Linked DNA regions of Caenorhabditis elegans. The protein of the gene in region 3 interacts with the protein of the main gene of each other region in a pairwise test. Each region holds a gene or a part of one and is shown on either strand. Other genes may lie near its edges.

The links.
Region 1: the proteins of nhr-22 (region 3) and ceh-23 interact in a two-hybrid assay, tested with the Caenorhabditis elegans proteins (one large-scale study listed by BioGRID).
Region 2: the proteins of nhr-22 (region 3) and dmd-5 interact in a two-hybrid assay, tested with the Caenorhabditis elegans proteins (one large-scale study listed by BioGRID).

Annotation. Positions count from the first base shown.
Region 1 is NC_003281.10:7,835,631-7,842,790, reverse strand, and holds ceh-23 (Homeobox protein ceh-23), read right to left. Parts: upstream 3,200-7,160; 5' UTR 3,198-3,199; coding exon 3,125-3,197; intron 2,885-3,124; coding exon 2,712-2,884; intron 2,659-2,711; coding exon 2,261-2,658; intron 1,698-2,260; coding exon 1,424-1,697; 3' UTR 1,300-1,423; downstream 1-1,299. UniProt on the Caenorhabditis elegans protein: Probable transcription factor. Required for differentiation of AIY interneurons, acting downstream of LIM/homeobox protein ttx-3. Modulates gene expression, acting downstream of AMP kinase aak-2/AMPK signaling. Modulates lifespan.
Region 2 is NC_003280.10:5,770,195-5,777,354, forward strand, and holds dmd-5 (Doublesex- and mab-3-related transcription factor dmd-5), read right to left. Parts: upstream 4,027-7,160; 5' UTR 3,975-4,026; coding exon 3,836-3,974; intron 3,474-3,835; coding exon 3,309-3,473; intron 3,153-3,308; exon of another isoform or gene 3,038-3,152; intron 2,998-3,037; coding exon 2,905-2,997; intron 2,888-2,904; exon of another isoform or gene 2,693-2,887; intron 2,491-2,692; coding exon 2,269-2,490; intron 2,221-2,268; coding exon 1,997-2,220; 3' UTR 1,860-1,996; downstream 1-1,859. Other genes in the region: Intermediate filament protein ifb-1, read left to right, coding at 1-408, 519-720, 768-875, 1,333-1,497; F10C1.1 (uncharacterized protein), read left to right, coding at 4,035-4,226. UniProt on the Caenorhabditis elegans protein: Transcription factor. Required for sex-specific synaptic pruning, probably acting downstream of sex-determining transformer protein tra-1.
Region 3 is NC_003280.10:6,444,622-6,451,781, forward strand, and holds nhr-22 (Nuclear hormone receptor family member nhr-22), read right to left. Parts: upstream 5,172-7,160; 5' UTR 5,168-5,171; coding exon 4,823-5,167; intron 3,945-4,822; coding exon 3,782-3,944; intron 3,694-3,781; coding exon 3,562-3,693; intron 3,126-3,561; coding exon 2,728-3,125; intron 2,680-2,727; coding exon 2,483-2,679; intron 2,436-2,482; coding exon 2,304-2,435; intron 2,256-2,303; coding exon 2,140-2,255; intron 2,094-2,139; coding exon 1,942-2,093; intron 1,896-1,941; coding exon 1,801-1,895; intron 1,750-1,800; coding exon 1,740-1,749; 3' UTR 1,574-1,739; downstream 1-1,573. Other genes in the region: K06A1.2 (uncharacterized protein), read left to right, coding at 1-204, 249-356, 397-483, 529-696, 744-947, 996-1,072, 1,125-1,200, 1,245-1,309 and 1 more; atg-16.2 (Autophagic-related protein 16.2), read right to left, coding at 6,542-6,632, 7,104-7,160. UniProt on the Caenorhabditis elegans protein: Orphan nuclear receptor.

The DNA.
Region 1 (7,160 bases), on a different chromosome or scaffold from region 3:
CTACTGCAGCAATCCTTCTTCATGACCATTCGAGGCATTCCACGTCTTCTCAACTTATCCTCGTTCCAAAAATCAAAGTCCTTTGTTCTGTGTTCTTCGAATAATTGGATAACATAGTTGATTATAATGTTTTTTTAAAATTAAACCTAGATCAATGTTTAAAAAATATTCAAATCAACTCAACATATTCCAATTCTGTAACTAGTATCCCCGTGCTTAAACTCTTCCACCACCGCGTCCTGTAAAAGTAGCTGGTTTCCCATTCCGTTGTTTCAATAGTGATATAGTGTTGGCCACTTCCTTTTTTATCCACTTTTCCTGTTTTAGGCCAGAAATCTACGAGATCTTCTCTTTCTTTTTTATTTTTTTTGTTTGTTTTTTCTTCATTCAATTAAACTTAATCCCATTTTTCCCTGTCCCTGTCTTTCATTAAAATATATACATGGCTTGAGGTTTGTTTCCAATTTTTGTCATCTCTTCTCGGCTCATACTTTCTTATGTTTCAGAAGACCCAGACATCTTTCAGTCTCCCCGTTTTGTTTCTTTTTTTATTTTCAAAAATCCTCACAGCAAATTTTCTTTCTCATATTTTTAATTTCTTTTTCATTCTCTTCTAAAATATTACTCAAAATCAGTCAATAAATGTTCAGTTGGTTTTTTTTTGGTTTTTAAACCATCATGAAATGGCAAAATCATGGCGGAACATGGAGCTAAAACTTGAAAATTTTACACTCAAATTGTCACTTTGAACCGTCCAAGAGGCAATTGAAAGCTATTTTTTTCTAAAACACTTGTCTAAGAGAATCTGTATAATTTTTAAAATTTGTTGAAATGTAGAATTCCAAAGACAAGATGTTTCTCAAACCAATTTTTGGTTGGTGGCATAACTTGAATTTTATCAGAAATTTCGATTAAACACACAATTTTTGGCAACTTATCACACAGACTTTATTTATAAGTTGTTCAATGTGGAAAATTACGGTTTGTTCAGTGGAATTTACTGTTTTTTTTTCAAAAGTTGGTCGTATGCAAAATTAAATATATCCACAAAACTTCAAGGACTCGCTAAATTGCGTATCTTCAAACTGGCGTATCTGGAAAAATACACGTCTAAAAACCAAATGTTCAACTAACAAAGTGATCAGAAATATTTTACCTCTTGTTCGCAATACTTTTTTTGTAAAATATTGATTATTTATTGAGTTAGAAAAAATTGAAGCCATTCGCTAAGCTTTCTTGTAAGATTTCACATTTTCTTTGAAGCACCGAACCATTTCCTGATAACGTAACCTATCAAGTAAGTTCACATAAAACTTTATTTGTTTAATGCTTTATAATCAAGAATATACACATTTTTTCTAATTATTTTCTAAAACAGAATATGGCAGGAAATAAACAAGTAAACACGAAAAAAAAAATTAAATTAATTCAGAACTTTTACATCATCTTCATCTTCTTCATCATCTTCCTCTTCATCTTTTCCAATTTCTTCAGATTTTTCTTCTAACGTCGTGCTCTGTTGCTCCTCTTGTTGTTTCCTACGATGTTTGCTTCTCCGGTTTTGAAACCAAATTCTAACTTGAGAAGGTGATAGGCCAAGGCGTTGAGCAAGATTTTCTCGTTCTGCTCCGACTACGTACATTTGTCCTTTAAACATATCTTCCAGTTGTTGAGTTTGTGTTGTACCGTAGATTGTTCTGAAAACTTTGAATTTGTTTGATCTTTAGTTTAGAATCTTAAAACAATCTTCTTCAGCTTCTTACTGTGGGAACCAACAATTTCTTTTCAATTCGGCACGTATGAATTATCCCACGAACTTCGTTTTGCGTCAAAGTTATATTTTAGATTGATTAAGAATTTCTAAAGATAAATAAATTATATTTTTAAAAACTTCAAGTCAGAGGCCAAAAAACTTCCTTTCGGAAATGAAGTAAATGTTTATTTCGTCAAAGGATTTGATAAAGCTTATAAAATCTTAAATGAGTCACCTGATGGTTCTATGATTCGTTGACAATTTTTCTGACTTTTTTTATGAAAGTTTTCTGAAACTGGTTTGTTCAATTTTTGAGGCGAGAAGCCAGTATACAAGTATATTGTGCTCTTCTTCTCGAAAAAAAACGCCACAGCTTCAAAGAAATGTAAATGAAAATTTGTCAAAAAGCTCTTTTCTGAAAAGCTGCAGATTTTGTGCTAAAGATTGATAAAAAGTTGATAGAGTATGCTACAAAGATGTGTCATTTTGCTGGTTTATTCTCCTTACCTTGCTTTTCTATGATTTGCTGCTCTCCGACTATGTGCCATACTATTCATAGCCAAGGGAACAGCTCCCATTAACGCCGCATCTAATGATCCTTGAATTCCTGAAGTTCCAGCAGCTGGAACATGTTGATAATAACATCCAGGCATTCCGGGTAGTTGAGAGGTTGGAGGCATCAATTGTGCAAGTTGTTCACGTAGCAGAACCTCCATATTTGTTTCTGAATAACGTCGTCGTTCTGGAGAACCCGTAGATGGGACTTGAAGCGTGACGGTTGCTTGAGAGGATGCAGGAGGTTCTGGGCAAGAAGCCCGACGGCTTGTTGTTGCAAAAAGTGCATTTGCAAGAGCTTCGACAGCAGATGGATTGGCTTGCAGGAGAGATGGATTTGGAATAAAAGGCTGAAAATACAAAAGGGGTTAAGAGGTTTTTTGAAAATACGAAAATCATTCACCTGTGCTGGAATTGTTGGCAGTATTAAAGAATTGGCTGGTTGTGATGGTGGGAACAAGTTGACACGTGGAATTGTAGCCGAGAAGGGAAGATTCGGTGAAAGCATTCCAGTTGATGTTGAAGGTATACAGGATGTGGGACAGGCTTGTAAAGCAGCAATTGTTTGAAGAACGTCTGAATTCATAAAATGATATGTCAGCCATACAGCTTCTCATCTTTCTCGATTTTTGAATAAGTCTAACAAATCTTATCATCATCATTCCCGAAATCAGCTTATCAGCAATGAAAATCGGATGATTGTCGTGTTTGACAGATGGTTTTCAGTCATGAAATCATTAAATGGTGTGGGGGAATGCGATTTGGATATTAAGGAGCTTTGTGTAAGAGCACATTTCAAAATGGATTTGATGTTACCTGTTAGAGATGATGAAGACACAGGCAGCGGCGTTGAAACTGGCAAAGTTTGGAATGGAAGATGGGTGTCCATCTAGAAAATAAAGATTAATCAAAAAATGTAAAAATGTTGAAAAATGTAAAGAGGTAAAAAATTAAAAGTTTGGCAATTGTAGAACTTACTGTTCTAAGTTTATCAGATCAAGTTGGACAAAAACAGATTCAAACCATAAATTATCTAAAATTACTGGGTGCAATAAAATGCTGATACCCCTGAATGGTAAATTATAGAAACTAAAGTTTTCACTATTGCAGACAAATTCAAAAACGTGTGAGTCTGGGAATATGAAAATACACTGCTTCTCTCCAATTACCAAGGGATGTGAACGAATGATCAAAGCTCAAAATTTACCACTCATTAGTAGATTATAGTAGTCATAGTAGTAGTAAAAGTAATAATAGTAGTCAGTGTGTTGTGCAGGTATATCAGTGTAGATATTATTAAATGAGTCAGACGAAACAAAAATGAAAAGGATTAATTTTTAAAGATCAGTGTTTCCAGGAAATGTTGAAATTGCTAATCGGATTATGAAAGATGAATGGAATCAGATGGGAAGACGTAGATAATGAATGTCTGGAGGATTTTATTTAATCACATTTTTGCATATCAGAAATGAAAAAGTGAGAATTTAAAATAAAAATCTGAAACTTAATTTTCCTTCTCGATTTCTGCAGCTGCTCCAATTTACTACAACCTATTAGATTATTTTCAACAATTTGAGTTTTAAGTGTAAAATTTTTAATTGGTGAAAATTTCGAAAGTTTCAAATATAAAATTGAGAGCAATCGAATTTTGTGTCTAACATATTTCTGTTAGTCAGATATCAAAGCTCACAGGCTAATGTGCTTTAAAGTTTAAATATGATCGAACGTTATACATATTTTACATGCAAATGGAAGCCAATTATTTGTCATTTTCAAGGAAGTCTCAATGTTTGGAAAAAAGAAGATCAAAAATGAAACTAATTTTGAGGTTTTATGGGAATAGCCATGAACATAAATTGCTCTTAATAACGTCTAATACCACAAAAAATTAAAACACTTGAAACTGCTTAAATTTAAAAGATTGTACCACTGTTCGTTTGTAAGATAACTGCGAATCTATAGAAAAAAAAATCAAACAAATTATTTATCAGTTGACAATTTTTCGATAGAACGAACAAAAACTACGACAAACGCTGCCAAAGTTTAAGAGTAAAGTGCATTACTACTAGTGGAAATACGGTACTTGTTTTGAAGGTTAACATAACTATGGTATCTCAAGGTTTGTTATTTTTAATGCAATTTCTAAGAATTCATACTTTTCTCCACTGAAACACATGTTAAAAACTTGCCACTATCATATTTTGAACAATTATGTAGGTACCTAAACCTGATGTAACTAACTTTCTGAGAATCAATACAGAAACATTAAATACCTACCACTTTCCTTCAAAAAAAACTAAGAATATGATTTGTGGGTTTTCTGACCCGAAGCCGGAATTATGAAACTTCTGATTCAAATTCTTCGCAGGTCACATGTTTCATTTAAATCAGAAGGTCGGAGCTAGAAATTGGAAAATATCTAAACAAATAAAAAATACAAATATTTTCAAAGATTATGACACAAAAAATGCACCCAATCATAACTATTTGATCACATCACAGCTTTAGAAAACAATCTTTTATATATCCTCAATTTTTAAGGAGAGCCCGCCCTCTTAGCCTTTTCTAGCAAAAAAAGCGTAGATGCTTAAAAACGGAAAAGGCGGAGCTATGTAGTTTATCACCTTCTGATGATGATAGCTTTGACGATGATTATAGTGATAAAGATCATTTGTTCATCGAATAATCGCTTTGGGCGGGGGGAGTGAGAGGATTATCCGGATTGAGCCGAGTGGATTCGATAATTAGTTGGAGCGTCTTAAAACTTTTTTGACGTGATTGGGAAAAAAAGTCACAAGTGGATAAAGAATTGGATGATCTGAAAGGATTAAAAATTATTCGAAATGATGACGTGTAAATGTGCAATGAGCTATGTACTGTACATATGCATGAATCCTTAAAATTCAGATTTAAGTTTCAAAGTTGTAAAACCATCAAATATTGGTTTTTTATATTTGAATTCAAAACCAGGGGTGTGGCAAATCCACAAAAGTGCCCACTTTGGTATGATAATTTTCTGTAAATGTAAAAATATCTGATTGATTCGAAAATATTGTTTTAAGAACCTCGAACAATTCGCGATTGAATAACAAATTTCCGTCAGTTTTTCAGATTTTTTTGGGTTTTTCAACAATTACCTTATATTAGGCAATTGCCGGCAATGCAAGTTTTTTTAAAAAGAATACTTTAATATTTATTTTTGATTTTAAAATGTATATTATAAACTATAGAATTTTTCGGTGGGGACATTTTTTGAGTATTTTCATGTTGATTTTGGGTTCTTTTTTCCGAATACCACAGTTTTTTTTTCAATTTTTTCTACGAAACTTGTGTGAAAGCCATTTTTTATAAAATTCTAAACTCTTCTCAATCTTTGGTGGCATTTCATTTTTTGATTAAATTCTTTTTAACCTACGTAGATATTACGCAAAAAGTTTTTAAACGCCTAATTTATTATCAAATCTTTTCTCCGCTCTAGTAGATCAAGACCTAATCGAATTTTTCCAACAAAGTGTGCTTGCAAACATAATTTTTTCTTCATCTAGATTTTTGCTCTCAAATCCCAATTTTCCACCTGCCGCCACTACTTTTATGTCTAAATACACACACCCAAATAAAAACACACTCTCACACTAGTAACTGAATAATTTTCTGATTCAATCCAATATTACGATTGAGACCTATGAGATCATGGCTTACTAAAGGAAAAACTACGAACATTCACCTGTTTTTTTCTCTAATTTTACTCCATTTATTCATATTACGAGTGACGAAATAATTAGTTTTAATGAACAAATAATTCGGGTGTTTTTTAGAAAAATGTATCTTTGGAAAATTGAAAAGTTCGGAAACTGTTCGTCGGAAAAATATTTTCAAAGCTTTATTTGAGAACTGTCAGGCTGCTCTAGAATGCGGCGAACTTCTTTAAAATTATTTAATAGAAACTCCCAGGCACGTAGGCAAAGTTCTATGTATGTAAATCCACTCTTAATAAATTCGGACTAGAATGAATGGGAACAGTCAAAATACTAATAGTAAGAGTCCAGTATCCTGAAAAAATTGCGCTAATTATATGCCAAGTTTGTGAGATTTCTATGGAAAAAGTTTGAGACTCCCACGCCACGTCATATCTTTTCCAAAAAATATGAGGAAAATGACGTCAAATGATAATGAAGTACAGGGCAACTTTTGAAATTTGCGAGAGTTGAAATACGTATAGTTTGCCGTGTGGGCGGCCACACACCTAGAAATGAAGATTTTCGAATTTTGGCGAGGTTCAATTTAATGAAAGATAGGATTCTGAACTTGTGCTGACTTTCAGGAATAAATTTAAAAAGTTTCATTTTAGCGCAAGAAAATCCAGTGATAAGTTAAGACATCCGTTTCCGTGGATAAATCTATGTATTTCAATTGTACTATTTTAAGAACACTCAATCTAATTTAAGAAACAATTCTCTGCTGGGAAACTTCTAATTTGGAACATTTCCTTTTCGAGTCGTCATTTTCTATTCACATCATTGTCATTTCAATTGTCATTTGTCATAGTGATTATTAATCCATTGTGGTCAATAAATATCCAATTTGGTGCTCGTTTACCAAGTTGCAGACTGCTTTGGAAATCCGTTTGTGCGTCACTCGGCCGGTGAATTGGTGGGAGATTAGTCGACATTTTTGTCCAATTCCGGAATGCTTTAACGGGATTATTGAACTTTTCGAGTGCCGATTTTTGTGCAGGTGATTTGTTGAATTGAGCGGCGGAATTGTTTCAAATATTAATGACAAATAAAATTATTGAAACACCTGTGCGATTTTGTAATTACAAATGAAATTTCGTATGTCACTTGGTATAGAT
Region 2 (7,160 bases), 680 kb from region 3:
TGAGTATGATATCATTGCCAAGCAAGGAAAGCAAGACATGGAGTCCTGGTACAAGCTCAAGGTTTCCGAGGTTCAAGGATCTGCCAACCGTGCCAATATGGAGTCCACCTACCAGAGGGATGAGGTCAAGAGAATGAGAGACAACATTGGAGATCTCCGCGGAAAATTGGGAGATTTGGAGAACAAGAACTCACTTTTGGAGAAGGAAGTTCAGAACTTGAACTACCAATTGACCGACGATCAAAGACAATACGAAGCTGCCCTCAACGACAGAGATGCTACATTGAGAAGAATGCGTGAGGAATGCCAAACATTGGTTGCTGAGCTTCAAGCTCTTTTGGATACCAAGCAAATGCTTGACGCCGAAATTGCCATCTACAGAAAAATGCTCGAGGGAGAAGAGACCAGGTAATTATTATCGTTATTTAATCAATATTCCCAGCAAGCCAAATTTTGGGCAGTTTTGTTATCATTTTGTTCTAAAACCTTTCTCAAAAGTTTCAAAAATATATTTGCAGAGTCGGACTCACCCAAATGGTTGAGCAAGCCGTCAAGACGCATTCTCTCCAACAACAAGAAAACACTGATTCGACAAGATCAGTTCGCGGTGAGGTATCCACCAAGACCACCTTCCAAAGATCCGCCAAGGGAAATGTGACAATTTCCGAGTGTGATCCAAATGGAAAGTTCATCAAGCTTGAGAACTCGCACAGAAACAAGGTATGTTGAAGCTTTTTGGTTTTGAAATGTTGAAAATTTTATTTCAGGATGAGAATGTTGGTGAGCACAAAATCAGAAGAAAGTTGGATGGAAGACGCGAAATTGTCTATTCCATTCCAGCCAATGTTGTTATCAAGCCAGGAAAGAACTTGACCGTAAGTTATTTTTATCATTGTTTTAGAAAAAAGTGTGTAGCTATGTAAATATTCTTAGTATTTTTTTAGTCTGCCACTATATTTTTGAGAAACCCAGCCAACATAGTCTGAAGCCCGTTAAAAACGTACTTTCACCTGAAAATTTCCAAAAAAAAAATTTTGAAAGGGAATGGCCAAATTTTGCTAAAATCTGAAATTTTGTGAGATTGTCCATGTAGCAATATCGGAAAATCAGTTGTTATTTCTCTAATGCTCTTTATCAGAGTTACAGGTTTTAGAAATTTGAAAATGTTTTCCCCAAGTTTTGAGCCACCATAAGAAATTTGGAAACATTTTCTGAGAGGTCTCATTATGAAATTTAATCGTTTCGGGTTAGTCTAAGGGTTTCTCGCATTTGCTGAGAAACTAATCTACATAATTTCGAAAAGAGAATATTCCAATTCCAATAAATTTCCAGATCTACGCCCGTGACCAAGGAGGCATCAACAACCCACCAGAGTCTCTTGTCTTCGATGGAGAGAACACCTGGGGAATCGGAGCCAATGTTGTGACGTCATTGGTGAACAAGGATGGAGAGGAGCGTGCAACACACACCCAGAAGACCATCCAATCCGGACAATAAGCTCTCATTATTTTTAAACAACTTTTTCTCTTTTAAACAACTCCCCAAAATCACTCAAGTTCTCTAGTTTCTGTCCATAATTTTCTTATTATTCTTGATGATAGACCTTCTCGACATTTTTTCTTTAAATTGATTCATTGAAACTGCCTAAAACTGACCAAAATATTGAATTGATTTGCTTAAGACTCTTCACTTAAAATCGCTAATCTGAAATTCATTTTAAAAAACATCAAAAAAAGAACAAAAACGTTTGCAATTCTTTTCATAATACACTGCTTTTCCCGTTCAAACTTCAAGTGTTTCCCCCCGCTCATTTTCCACCGAAAAATCTTTCTATTCAATGTTTTCTACTTCTTTTTCAATTTTAATAAGATTTTTTATTCAGTTTAGTTTTTTTTAATTGAAGACAAATCATAAATACAATTTTAAATGTGACCATATAAAAATATACAAAGTATTGGAACTCTGATTCTGACGATAAGAAAAAATATTCAATTTCTCAAAATGTTTTATCATTTTCTCGGTATTCTTCTTCGGCTTCCTCATTTTTCATTAAACGATGACTGTAATCCAATGGAGCAGTTTGTGGGAAAATTGTGCTCGGTGATGACGTGGCAATTGTTGGCTGGGCTGAGAAGAACGCTGGTGGAGCTGCGAGGCTCGCAGCAGATGCGAAATCTGACATTGATGGAGTTCCGAAGAAATGCGGCATCACTGAAAACACTGAAAATAAGTTTAATTTACGAAATAATATTGAATAAGCTCTCTTACTCGGAAATCTCATGAATGGTCTTCCATACACAGGATTGAACATTGGCATTGAAGAGTATCCATTTGGTTTGAAAACTGGACTTGTTGGAATCACTGAGCCACTGGTATTTGGTGTTGATTCAGATGAGAGCTCAGGTGGGGAAGAAGTGCTTACAACAGTTTCAGAACCTGTTGGAGAGCTTGGTGAACTCCGTTGTCCCTGTGAGTCTTCGTATTTTTCTTCTGAAAGGTAGTGCAAGGTTAGTTAAGGTTAATCTTTTAAATGAGAGCAATTGACTTGTAAAGTGCTAATCTAGATTAATCCCATCAATATTGTGAATAGCTTATCCCTCTCAAATGCATCTGCTTCTCGTAAAGCTTACAGTGCTCTCTAGCTAATTGACTTACGCAACCAGGTACGGGGATTATGGAGATGGGGTAAAAGTGCACCTGTTTCCGAATACGCAAAAAGTTTAGCACGAGTGGGGTTCGAACCCACGAGGTGTTATCCACCATTGGAACTTAAGTCCAACGCCTTAACCACTCGGCCATCGTGCTGGCCATTCGACGCGGCGCTCCGTAGCCTTCACATTACTGCGGGAAGAAGAGAGCGCACTCTCATTTCTCTGTCTCGAACAGGCTGTCATGTCGACTCACCAGTATTATTATTGTTGTTGGTCGTCGGAGAAGCGTGGTTTTTCCCGTGATGTTCACCGGCATCGAGACGAAGAATATCGAGGAGATCATTCGCTAAAAAATAGAAATTAAATAAAAAGTTAGCGTGTTATTCTATAAAAAAAGAGAACAATGTGTCATTGTAGAAGGTGTGTGAGCATACAAAGATGACCCTAATGAACTATTAGTATTGTAACAAGTATAGGTCATATTAGTGTCAGGTTACCCAATAGTTAGTCTAGCACCTCGAGCACAGCGGGAAGCTTGTTCAAGACACAACTTGAATGAAAAATGACCGGAAATACTTGATCGGGAAAAACACATGCACTGATTCAGCACCAGCATTCCACAGCTTAATCCCCGAATATTTAAATAAGCTGACTTACCATTTCCAGCAGAACCCAGAAGTACTTCCAAATCTCTTGCGTCTCTTTCTTCCTGAGATTGCTGACGACGAAGAGCAACCTGAGCAGCCATAACTCGTTGTCTTTCGGCAATTAATGTGCACTTTGCACACATACAATCCTTCCATTGACAGTAACGTTTGTGACCTGGAAAGTTTATGGAATATTACATTTAAATTCTAGATTTTCCACGAGAGCACAAATCACGCAAAGATGGCAAGATCGGTGATGTGTTTCCAAAAATTGAAAGTTCTTATAGAGCAACTTATTTTATGGTTTTAACAGAAGCCGGAGCATCGAGTGTTATTGTCCCCTTATATTTTGAAGTAAGCTTTACTGGAACTATTACATGCACTTGAAAAAAATTTTGTACTTCGATTAAGGATTAAACAAAATGATTTTTCTGGTAGTCTTGCTTAATTTGACAGCTTGAATCTCGGTTTTTATTTTTTATTCTATGAGACTGATGAATATGGTTAATTGTTTTGATGGAATATTAAAATACGAACCTTTCAATGCAGAAGTAGTTCCGTGATTCCGACATCTCGCGCATTTCGGAGTCCTTTGATTCCTCTCTGCACGAATTCGAAGAATCTGTTCGAGGCTAGTTGGCGGTAGCACAGATACTGACGACGGAGAAACAGGCATTCTGTTTAAAATATTTTGTTGTGAATAAGGTGAAATGTTATAATATCAGAATGAGAGGTAATGGTTCCCAAAAGGAATGCTCAAGTCCCACCCCTTTTGCTCTTCGATCAGTGCTCGCGCGGACCACCAACCGGAAGAAGCTCCACCCTTTGTGAAGAGGGTGTCGGGGAAAGAGGGGTTACTGTAGGATCAAATGAAACAGATATATCCAGAGATAGTAGTAGAAGGAAAAGAAAAAATAAGAGACTGTGAGAAAACATTGAGTAATTTGGTAATAATCAAGTGGGTGTATAACAAGGCACTATATTTAGGAATGTTGAAAATATACGGTAATCAAATAGTTTTAAATCGAAAAAAACTGGATAAACTGCTCTTTGCTTAATCGCCTATAACTCGACAGTATGTCGCAACGTTTCAACCAACTTTAGCAAGTTATCGCAAAAGTTGCAAAAGTTAGGTAAAGCTGGTTAAATTTTGGATGATCCCAAAAATGAGCACTGAAAAACTACCGAAAGTTGGCTAAACTTGGTTAAAAGCTTCTAGCCTTTCTTGAGAAGGTGTGGCGAGTTTCTGATAGTGAGTAGGGACTATCAAATCAAATAAGCCACTTGACCTGCATTTTGTTTTAGGCCATGGTTGCCATATTTCAAAATTCCGGAGTTGAAAAATGGTGACGCTTGGAGATATGCATTTTCAAAAACTGTACCCACAAAACATTGAAACTTTAATTTTGTTCAAAAAATGTGAACACATTCCTATCCTGCTGCAAGTAGCGCAACTTCTCTCAAGATTTGAATGGAAGTTATGGAATCAATATCATCACCATATGCCAAATCACGAGCCATCAATCACCTGCCAACCACCACAACAAGAAATTCTTAGAATAAAATTGAAAGTGTTTTCAATAAAGTTTACATCTTACTAGATTCGCGTACACACCAATTTTAGAGGCTGCAATTTGAAATCGTGTGCTCTCTAAACATCAGAATAATTACAAGTTTGCCACAAAAGCATCGGGCCTAACCGCGTAATAATCACAAGGTATCATGACAAATAACTAGTAGAGATTGAGATGCTAATTTAAATTACCGCAAAACGTATTAAAGAGGCTAAGGAAGGGTATGCTAACAACAATAATCATAACATATGGAGAAGAGTGTTGGTTGTGGACACCCCCTTGTAATTAGAATTTGCGAATGCAAAAGCTCATGCTTGTGTTTTGATTGGATTTCGGCATGGCCTTTTACACATTAAATATGAAAATAGGTAATCTGTGATAGAGAAGAGAACGGGTGTACTTCTGAACAAGTGTATTACAAGAGAGCTCAAGTAAAATTTGTAAGCATGGGGTTGAGCGTACATTTTCGAAGTAGTGATCGCGAATTTAACGTCCAAGAACAGATACATAAGAACCACAAATTTCCTGGTTTGGTGCAAAATTTAACTTAATTACCAATGAATTCTGGAGATAACAGATACACTCTGGCACACTCCAAAACGTTATAATAACCTATGCAGATCTATCAGAAAACGTAGACACCTCGTGTAAAAATGAACCTGTTTCCTGTCTGAATTCTACTGAACAGCTGAAATTGTCTGGAACATTAACTGTAAAAACATTGAATAAGATTAATTGTTCATTGGTGAGCTCGCCAGGGAAAGTCGTCGTTGAGACTTTGAATAACGAAAATTTTGAAAACATTGCTCTGAATGAGCACCCGACATCGATTAATTTGAGAAATTCACATCCCGAATATCATTTGAACTCTGACTTTGAATATCTTGAAGAGTAACTTTTCTAACCTTTTTCCTATAATATACGCAAAATGGTTCAAATAACCTAAATTGTCAACGACTTCTTTCAAAATTATATCGGCATACAAAATTTTTGAGAAAGTCCTATGAAACTAGGCTTTTTGTGAACATTTTTGAATCCACTTGATCGTGTACCATTTTTATTAGAAGCCGTCAATAATCAGTTTTACAACTCACTATTACAACTCACTAACTCAGTATTTTGTTTCAGTGTTTTCATGCACATCTTCATTTTCTGGTGAACTCCATGAGAAAGTTGGAAAACCGTGAAGGTCGAAAAAATTGTGAAAATGCGCAAGGAATTTAAGAAAAAGTTAGATAAACTTGCGAGAAAATTTACTCTACTAACAATATCACAGCGTTTTCATCTGTTTCAACTTCAATTGTTTTTCAGTCATGTGATAAAATTTCGAAAAAACATGCAACATTTAATAAACTGATTTCATTTATTCATCATCTAAAAACATTTTGCCACCCAGTGCACTCAACGCAGATGTTTTCTTTGCTTCCTGGTATTAAGAAACACTTTATATCCTAATTCTACAGTAAGATTGTTTTGCAGGTGTGACATATTAGTCTCTACTAATGTGTACTAGCTCTTCCCTTAGTTTCATCTATCCTCTTCACGCGATTACTGTAAACAAGAAGCATTGTGATGCTTTTGTGCTCAATATGCTCAATGGAGAAAATGATGGGATGAATATAAATACATATTTATGTAAACGATGATGATGATTTGTTGAAAAGAAATTGAAGAAGCCACTGAAGGTGTTGAGAGCATCTGTGTGCATTTTCGGCTCTTCACAATAATTGTTTTCGATTTCAACTCAAGAGGCAAAGGTTGTGAATGTAATATGTCTCTGTCAAATATGATTTACAAAATATGTTCAGGGAAAAAAGAAGTTAAGGACCTGGGGGTCTTGAATATTCCGGTTCAAATCGTGGATTCTAGGAAAATAAATGAAAAAAAAAAGTAATTTATTCTTTGTTACGAACCAAAAGTTAACAGATAAATTCCTTTGTTTTAAGCCAAGTCGGCCAATTCCGCGAGCAGGTTTACAAGTTGAAATGTCTGAAGTTTATTTTTTGCCAGAACCGCATTTTTCCAAATTTTAAACATTCGAGCAATCACATATTGGAAACAAGGAAATTTCAAAATAAATTTTCAACTGCTTAATTAGTTAACAATCAATTTTCTACATTTTTATATAAGTCTCAGAAATACGCACCAATTTTCTGCTCATACACAATTCAATAAAGAAAATTATTTTGAGATTTTTTTTAATTAAGAAAAATGATAATTTTCAAACTAACTAACAAATATACTTCAGATTCTTTATTTGAATTTTTATTTTGTTAAAATGAACTGGT
Region 3 (7,160 bases):
TGTGCTCCGGAGAAGCGAAAAATGGCCGAGTTGACACAATTATGGACAATGTCCCAAGTTTGGTGGCTAGTCTTTGGTCATGTTGGGCTCTCGTGTGTGGTTCTTCTGCTAGTCACATTCTATATGAAATCAGTGAAATATTTACCGAAATATAATATTGTGATACCAGAGGAGAGTAGAATGACGACTATTTTATGGGCAAAGGTTGGGATTTAATGTATAGTTTATTCCAGAAAACATTTATTCAGTCACTATTCCTCCTTCTATCATTGGTAACCATATACTTTCCATTTCGAAAAGTTTGCATGAAACATCCAAAAGGAGTTTTCACAACACCACGGCACTTCTTGTATCAGGTAAAACGCCAGTAATCACAGGCCAACCAAATTAATTTAGATTTTCGATGCTGGAATCGGTCCATCTTTATATTTCTCATTTCCCTTGATATTCTTCATTTTCGATTTTTCTTTATTCATTTATGTTGTAAGTTTTTTAATTCTAGTCCATTCCATATCTTTTAATTTTCAGAAAGATCGAAAGTATATCAACAAGTTTGGTGCACTCTTCCTTGCTATTTTCAAGCTGATTACAGTCCCAATATTTGTTTATGAATGCTTTCTTTCTACAGTTTGTCTCTGGCACAAAGATCATGAACCTGGCTATTGTAGACTAAATGGAGCAATTTGGCAGTTTATGGTATTCCGATAGCCTTATTCCAACATTGAACGAAACTTCTGATTCAGCTGTCACACTTCTTCATTTTGGTTTATCATATGTTGCTTGTCATCCAAACATACCTGCTCAGTAAATTGAAGCCTAATATTGATCCAATTCCACGAATCAGCGAGGAGACCCCAAGCCAGGTGGCTCCAACTATTCTGAGTACTCAATCTGGTGAGACGAGAATCGAGAGCGAGTTTAATGAAATGACATATATCCATCCGAGAGTGAGAATGATTAAAGTGAAATATATTGCAACATTATTTTATTTTCAGCCATTCCATGTCCCACGGCTTGGATTGTCTATATTGAATGTGAAGAACAATAGGAACAATGATTGGTTGGCGTTGAGGTCTGCAGCGAAAATTATTCTGGTTATTTTAAATACAGTTCATTTTTTGTAGAGCTCTGTTGTCAACCACTGGCTTCTACAAGTTGTATCCATCGAAGTTTTTGATTCCTCCCGGCAAAGAAATTTCGGTGAAAACTACATCTAGAGCTACCAAAAACAGTCGAAATTTCAGATAGAAGTCGAGCAATGTACTAGAGCTGAATCTCCAACGTTGAATCACAATATTCTTATTGAATGGTGAATTCATAGTTCTCAATAATCTCTAATCCATTCTATTTCAGGTTTCCTCTTGACTCGACTCCACCAACGGGTGACTTGCAACGTCTTTGGAGCAAACCATATTTGGTTCCACAATCGCATTGGCAATATTTCGTTCTTCCGGTTTATGTGGATGATTCGGTGACTTCTTATAGCCCTAGTCATGTGTCAAGTGTTGAATAAATTTTTTAATTATTAAATGTATATCAATACAACTGAAATGAGTTCAATTTTACACATGTTTTGAAAGATCTGAATTGAGAGTTTGAACGAATATGGCAAAAAAAGAAAATCACAGAATATAAACAAAATGTCACAATTTTAAATACAAAAGCTACGCGATAAAGCTATGTAAGTTAATAGTCGTTAAAAGTCAGATGAATGAAGTAGAACCTTCACGATGGTTGTTTCAGTCGTCTCTGAAATAATTTGATAACATTTAAACTTTGAAATTATTAGAATTTTGTTACCTGAAAGATAGTAAGTCGTACATTATACTATCACAGGATACAACATCAAAGAAAGTCATTACAAGGTAAGAGTTTGTCATTGCTTGTACTTGCTCCTGAAACTCATTTAATTTTTCATAACAAATTGATGATGGAACCAACCGTTATATAGCTCATGCTCAGAAGAAGCTGACCAACTCGAATAGCTGGATCCTCATCACCTCGTTCTTCAACTACTTTATGCAAGGCTTGAACTATTGTGTCTCGTTGCCGTGCACAAATTGCTCGTCCCTCCTCTAGTAACCGATAGTTACCTGAAACGAGAATTTTAAAACTTTACTGTAGATATTATTTACTTACTGATTTGCCAAATTATGAGAGCTTTCAGAAGTACGTATTCTTCAAATGAGACTTCTAGTCGAGCGAACGGAATTGCCAGATCGAAATATTGTTTTAGCTTCAGTGGCATTAGGGTTCTGCAAGATAACAATTTACTGAGATTTAAAAAAGTTTAGCAAACTCACTTGTACTTTTCATGTTCTTGCGGGGTTTGAAACTCTGTTCCCGCGCCTGGCTCATCTCCACTTATTGGAATCGGATTCATATTGATATAGTCACCATTGAAAAGTATTAGACGTTCTTTTTCTATTCCAACTCTGTAGAAAAACTGACTGAATCTAATTTTTGAACATTAAATACTCACTTATAGCTATAATAGGCAGATGCAAGCATTGAATCTACGGCGCAAGCCATTCGATAGACCACATTTTTGTCATTTTTGTGTAAAGCTTGAAACTCCGGAAATTGATTCACGTAATCAAGAATCATAACAAAGTCGTGCTTTACAAATCCGCAAAATGATTTATAGTTGAAAGGTTTCAGCTGATGATTTTCGTAGGGCTGAAAGAGAATATTGTGAGAAATGGATATGGTGCATTGAAAACTCACACATTCACAAGTTGTATCGAAAACATCTCTTATCTGAGTATCCGTGTACATTATTTTCCTTCGATCATTCAATGAAGCTTCTGTTCTTACATAATGATCAACTAATTCGAAAATTTTATTTTCAACTTCAACGACTGGGTAGAACTGTACATGTTGAATAAATCCTGCATGGCTGGTGCTTGCCTGGTGTATATCGAATGGAGGAGAATTGGAAAGCACACGTTGACAGTGCATACGGTCACCAGTTGCTGGAGTAAGAAGTATGGATGGAGTTGAACGGTGCAGTGGTGGAGGTGTTACTGTCATATCAAGTGGTTGAGAAGATGAAGGATCCGGTGAAAGGTATGACTCAGGAATCGTCATTTCATTAATCCCTGATTCCATTTTCGGGCTCGAATCTGAAACAACAAATGGTATTATTAAAGTATCGTCAGTCGGGATAGATACACTTATAATACTCTAACATAACCGAATCTCATAAAAACTTTCCAAAAAGATTAAGAGTTTAAAAAACCTCAGTTTTGGTGAATTGCCAAATTTTCAAAAAATTGTAGAAATTGTTACAAGTTGGAACCCTGGAATTTTTCCAATTAAAACAATTAAAACGCTGTAAAAAAAAGGACTTGTAGATAAATATTTTTTTTGGTCAACTTCCAAAAACTGTGATAGATGAAAACTGAGTTTTGCCCACTTTTGACGGTAACTAAAAAATTTAAAAAATTTTTTGAAACGTTAAACTGTTATACTTAGGAATTTTATTACCATAGGAGAGGGTTTAAAAAATTTCCCAGTCGAGGGCTTCAAAAATATTTTCGAAATAAATTAGAAACTAACCTTGAACATTTGTATATGTATTTACATACTCATCATACGAAGATTCAACATCGTCATCTTCCTTTTTCGATACAACCAATCCCTTGGAACGTCGTTTTGCAACTCTCGTCTCTTCTTTTCTCGCTTGCACCACTGCAAAACAACAAATTACTGTTTTTTGTACCTCGGACTTTTTGGCCAATTGAACATGTGACAAATGACCTTGTCAATGATCACTCACGTTCTCTGCGCATTCCGGCATCTAAACATTTGATGAACCGACAGTGACGGCATATCATTCTGAGCTCGTAATGGGTTCTACACGGATTTGTGTCATCTCCAGTGCCAATGCATTCGTAAGTCATTGACATTGAAACACTTCTTCGGAAAAATGCTGCACATGCCTGAAAATATGCTCATTTATTAAATTTATTCCAATTAAATTGTGAGAAACATGTTTCCGGAGGTATTAGTGATGCAAATTGTACTTTTCATTTTCTCTTTATTTAAACATAAAGCATGCAAAGTGTGATGTACGTTATCAACAACTTTTTCTATTTGTTCGTGGTTTTCAGTAAGATTATCATACAAAACTTGGTCAAAAGGAGCTAGTTTCTAAACAGGAACTGTACTGTGGTGTGTTCAAACATCCGATCAGATGAAGATCTTCTATTGTCATTCTAGCTACACTTAAGACTACAAAAACAAATAGTGTGAGACACATACCACAAATGGCCACAAAAATAAGTGATGTTTCGTCGAAATACGCAGACGGAAAAAGAAAATACCTGACTACAATACACTTCTAGATAACACAGGATAACAATAAAAACACGTGGCGAGCATGTTACAAATTTTGGCACATTTTCAAAGCATAGTTATATTATTACGCCTTAAAATACTTTAGGACCTTTTTTCACAATTATCACTAATGAAACCAACGGTTTATCGGTGTTTTTAGAACAAAAATTCAAGTCTAGAAATGTTGATTTTACGAGTTTGAATGATAAAAAATATGATAAAAGTTTGAAATTACAGTACTCTTCAAAGACGCACAACGTTTCGAATTTAACAAAAATATGTTGCGCTGAGGCAGGATACCGTGGGCCTGGGTAATAATGTCCGATGCAAATTCAATTGTTATCCAGAAAACAAAAAATGTATATTGTACAACAACAACGAAAGTACAACACTTGTAAAAACAAAAAATGTTCATTTTTTCGGAGTAGTGCTAATTAATAATTGATACGAGAAATATTTTTTTCTTGATCATATTGCTTACCTTACAAGAACGACCTCCAAAATGTAGAGTATTGGCAGTGGGAGATGAACAGACATGACAACTTCGACTGTCAGTTAATGGAGATGGCATTCCACGTGGAGATGTTGAAGCTTTATTTACAATCTCTGGGAGATGATTCGATTCCGGTGGAGGTGATGAAGATCCCTCTTTCCAAATGCAGAAGTCAATATCGAATGATGGTTGGAATCCAAGATCGTAAGATGGAGATGATCCTAACGAATCACCAACGTCCAGAGACTCAGGAGATGGTGGTACGTCTTCAAAAGTATTTTTGAATAAATCGGTAGGTGGATAGAAATATTCATAGAGAAGGTCCGTAGACATATTTGATTAAAGTGAAAATGAATGGAGGTGTGCGGCAATGGTAGAGAGTAAGAAAAAGAGAAGAGAGAGGTTAGAGAGAGAAAGGACCGAACAAGGTTAGTACTGATAAGAACAGAATTGGGGGAAAATGAAGAAGAGAGAAAGGTGGGAAGAGGCTAATTGGAGGAGATGAGAAATTGGCTGGACAAAGGGGAGAAGATATTAATATATGGATTTATTTATTTGTTACGGCAAGAGATAGAAAATTGATTCATTAATTTTAAAGAAATGTGAGTTTTAAATTTGCAATTCACTGAATTAATATTTTCAAATATATGTATGAATAAAAAGTCTGTGGTTTGAAAATAATGCAAAACTATTTTCAATTAAATTTCGCCTATTTATAGTCACTGGAACGGAAACTTCATTCTGTCTAATCGAAAACGTGATGGGAAAATTTCAAATTATCACATTGAACTTATGGTTTTTCAAAAAATTTAAATACTCAAGTTTTGAATATTTCACACAAATATATATAAAAATAATAGAGAGAATAAAGATTTACGTTCGTTATAGAATTAGAGAGAAACGTGCGAGAACAAGAGATCGCCGACAGTGGCAGAGATTGCGGAAAAGGTGGATGTAAGAGAATTAGAGATAAAAGAAAATGTAAGTATATTAATACGAAAGAAAAAACAACTAAGCTGTCTGCGACTCATTGAGAGTACTAATCTTTTGAACCCTGGAAGATATGTAAAATACTGCTTCAGAAAACTGGCCGAATTGTTTTCAGAAATTGACATCTTTTCACAAGTTTATATGAAAATATTTTCCTGGCAATGCAGAATAATCAGAAATCATTAATATTTGAAATATACTTTTTTTAATAAACTTTTTTCAAATTCAGATCGAAAGGAGCAAATTTTTTTCAATGACGAAGAATTAGGACTATTCATCGGCAAAAAATATCATCATGCTGCGGGAACAGAAATTATTAATTTCCTGTATTCTTGTCATCATTTTGAACTGATTTTCATAGGTTAGCATCAGAAACTATAGAAAATTTAAGAAAACTCGAATGTTTCCAAACGACTGTCAGTCAGCCAACCAGGTGAAATGATAAGAAAATGTGCATTTTATGTTCATAGAATACAAGGGATAGGTGGTGATAACACAGAATTTGTAATATTCAGGCATTTTTTGAGGATTACCGGTTTAAATTAAAATGTATAAATATCATACAATTTTTTTCTATTTCAAACGAATGTTCATAATGAAAAATCTGAAAGAAAACATGAAAAACGCGGGTAAAACTATTTTTTTAAAAATGGATATGCACATTTATAACACAGATGATGATTCTGTACAATTATATTCAATTTCATACATTGAAGATCATCTCCAGAGTGTACAAGTCTTCTGACGATCACAAGCTAGAAGACCTCGGCCTGACGGATTCCATGCCAGAGACATTATTTGAGCCGAACTGAAAAAAAAACATTTTTGAGAGCAGAATTGGGGCATTGTACTCTGGAAGCGGATTTAATTTCCCAAGTTTTCGATTTTCATTCAAAATTACGGTATCTCGAAACGATAATTTTTTATTAAATACATATTCATCTTTTAAGAGTACTGTAACTTTAAACGCTTGTTGCTGCCATATTTTTTTACATTTTTTCAAAGTTTTTATTTAAGTGTAGTTTTATCGAAAGATTTAGAAATTAAAATTCCGCAGTACTCTTTAAAGGCGCACGCCTTTTCGCAATTAACTGAAATATATCGTGTCGAGGGCAGGTGCTGTACCTTTGGAACTAAAATCGCTAACTTTTGCGTCTGGCTAATGATGGTAACAAAAATTCTATATTCTATAATATCACATTTTTGATTAATTCTAACAAAAAATTTTGAAACATTTTTGAAACACTTTTTTGTAATATCGTTTCTTAATTTCACTCACTCTGATCTCGCAGTTTTCACAACTTTTTCCAACTTTGTGGTTTTTGTATTCCAAATG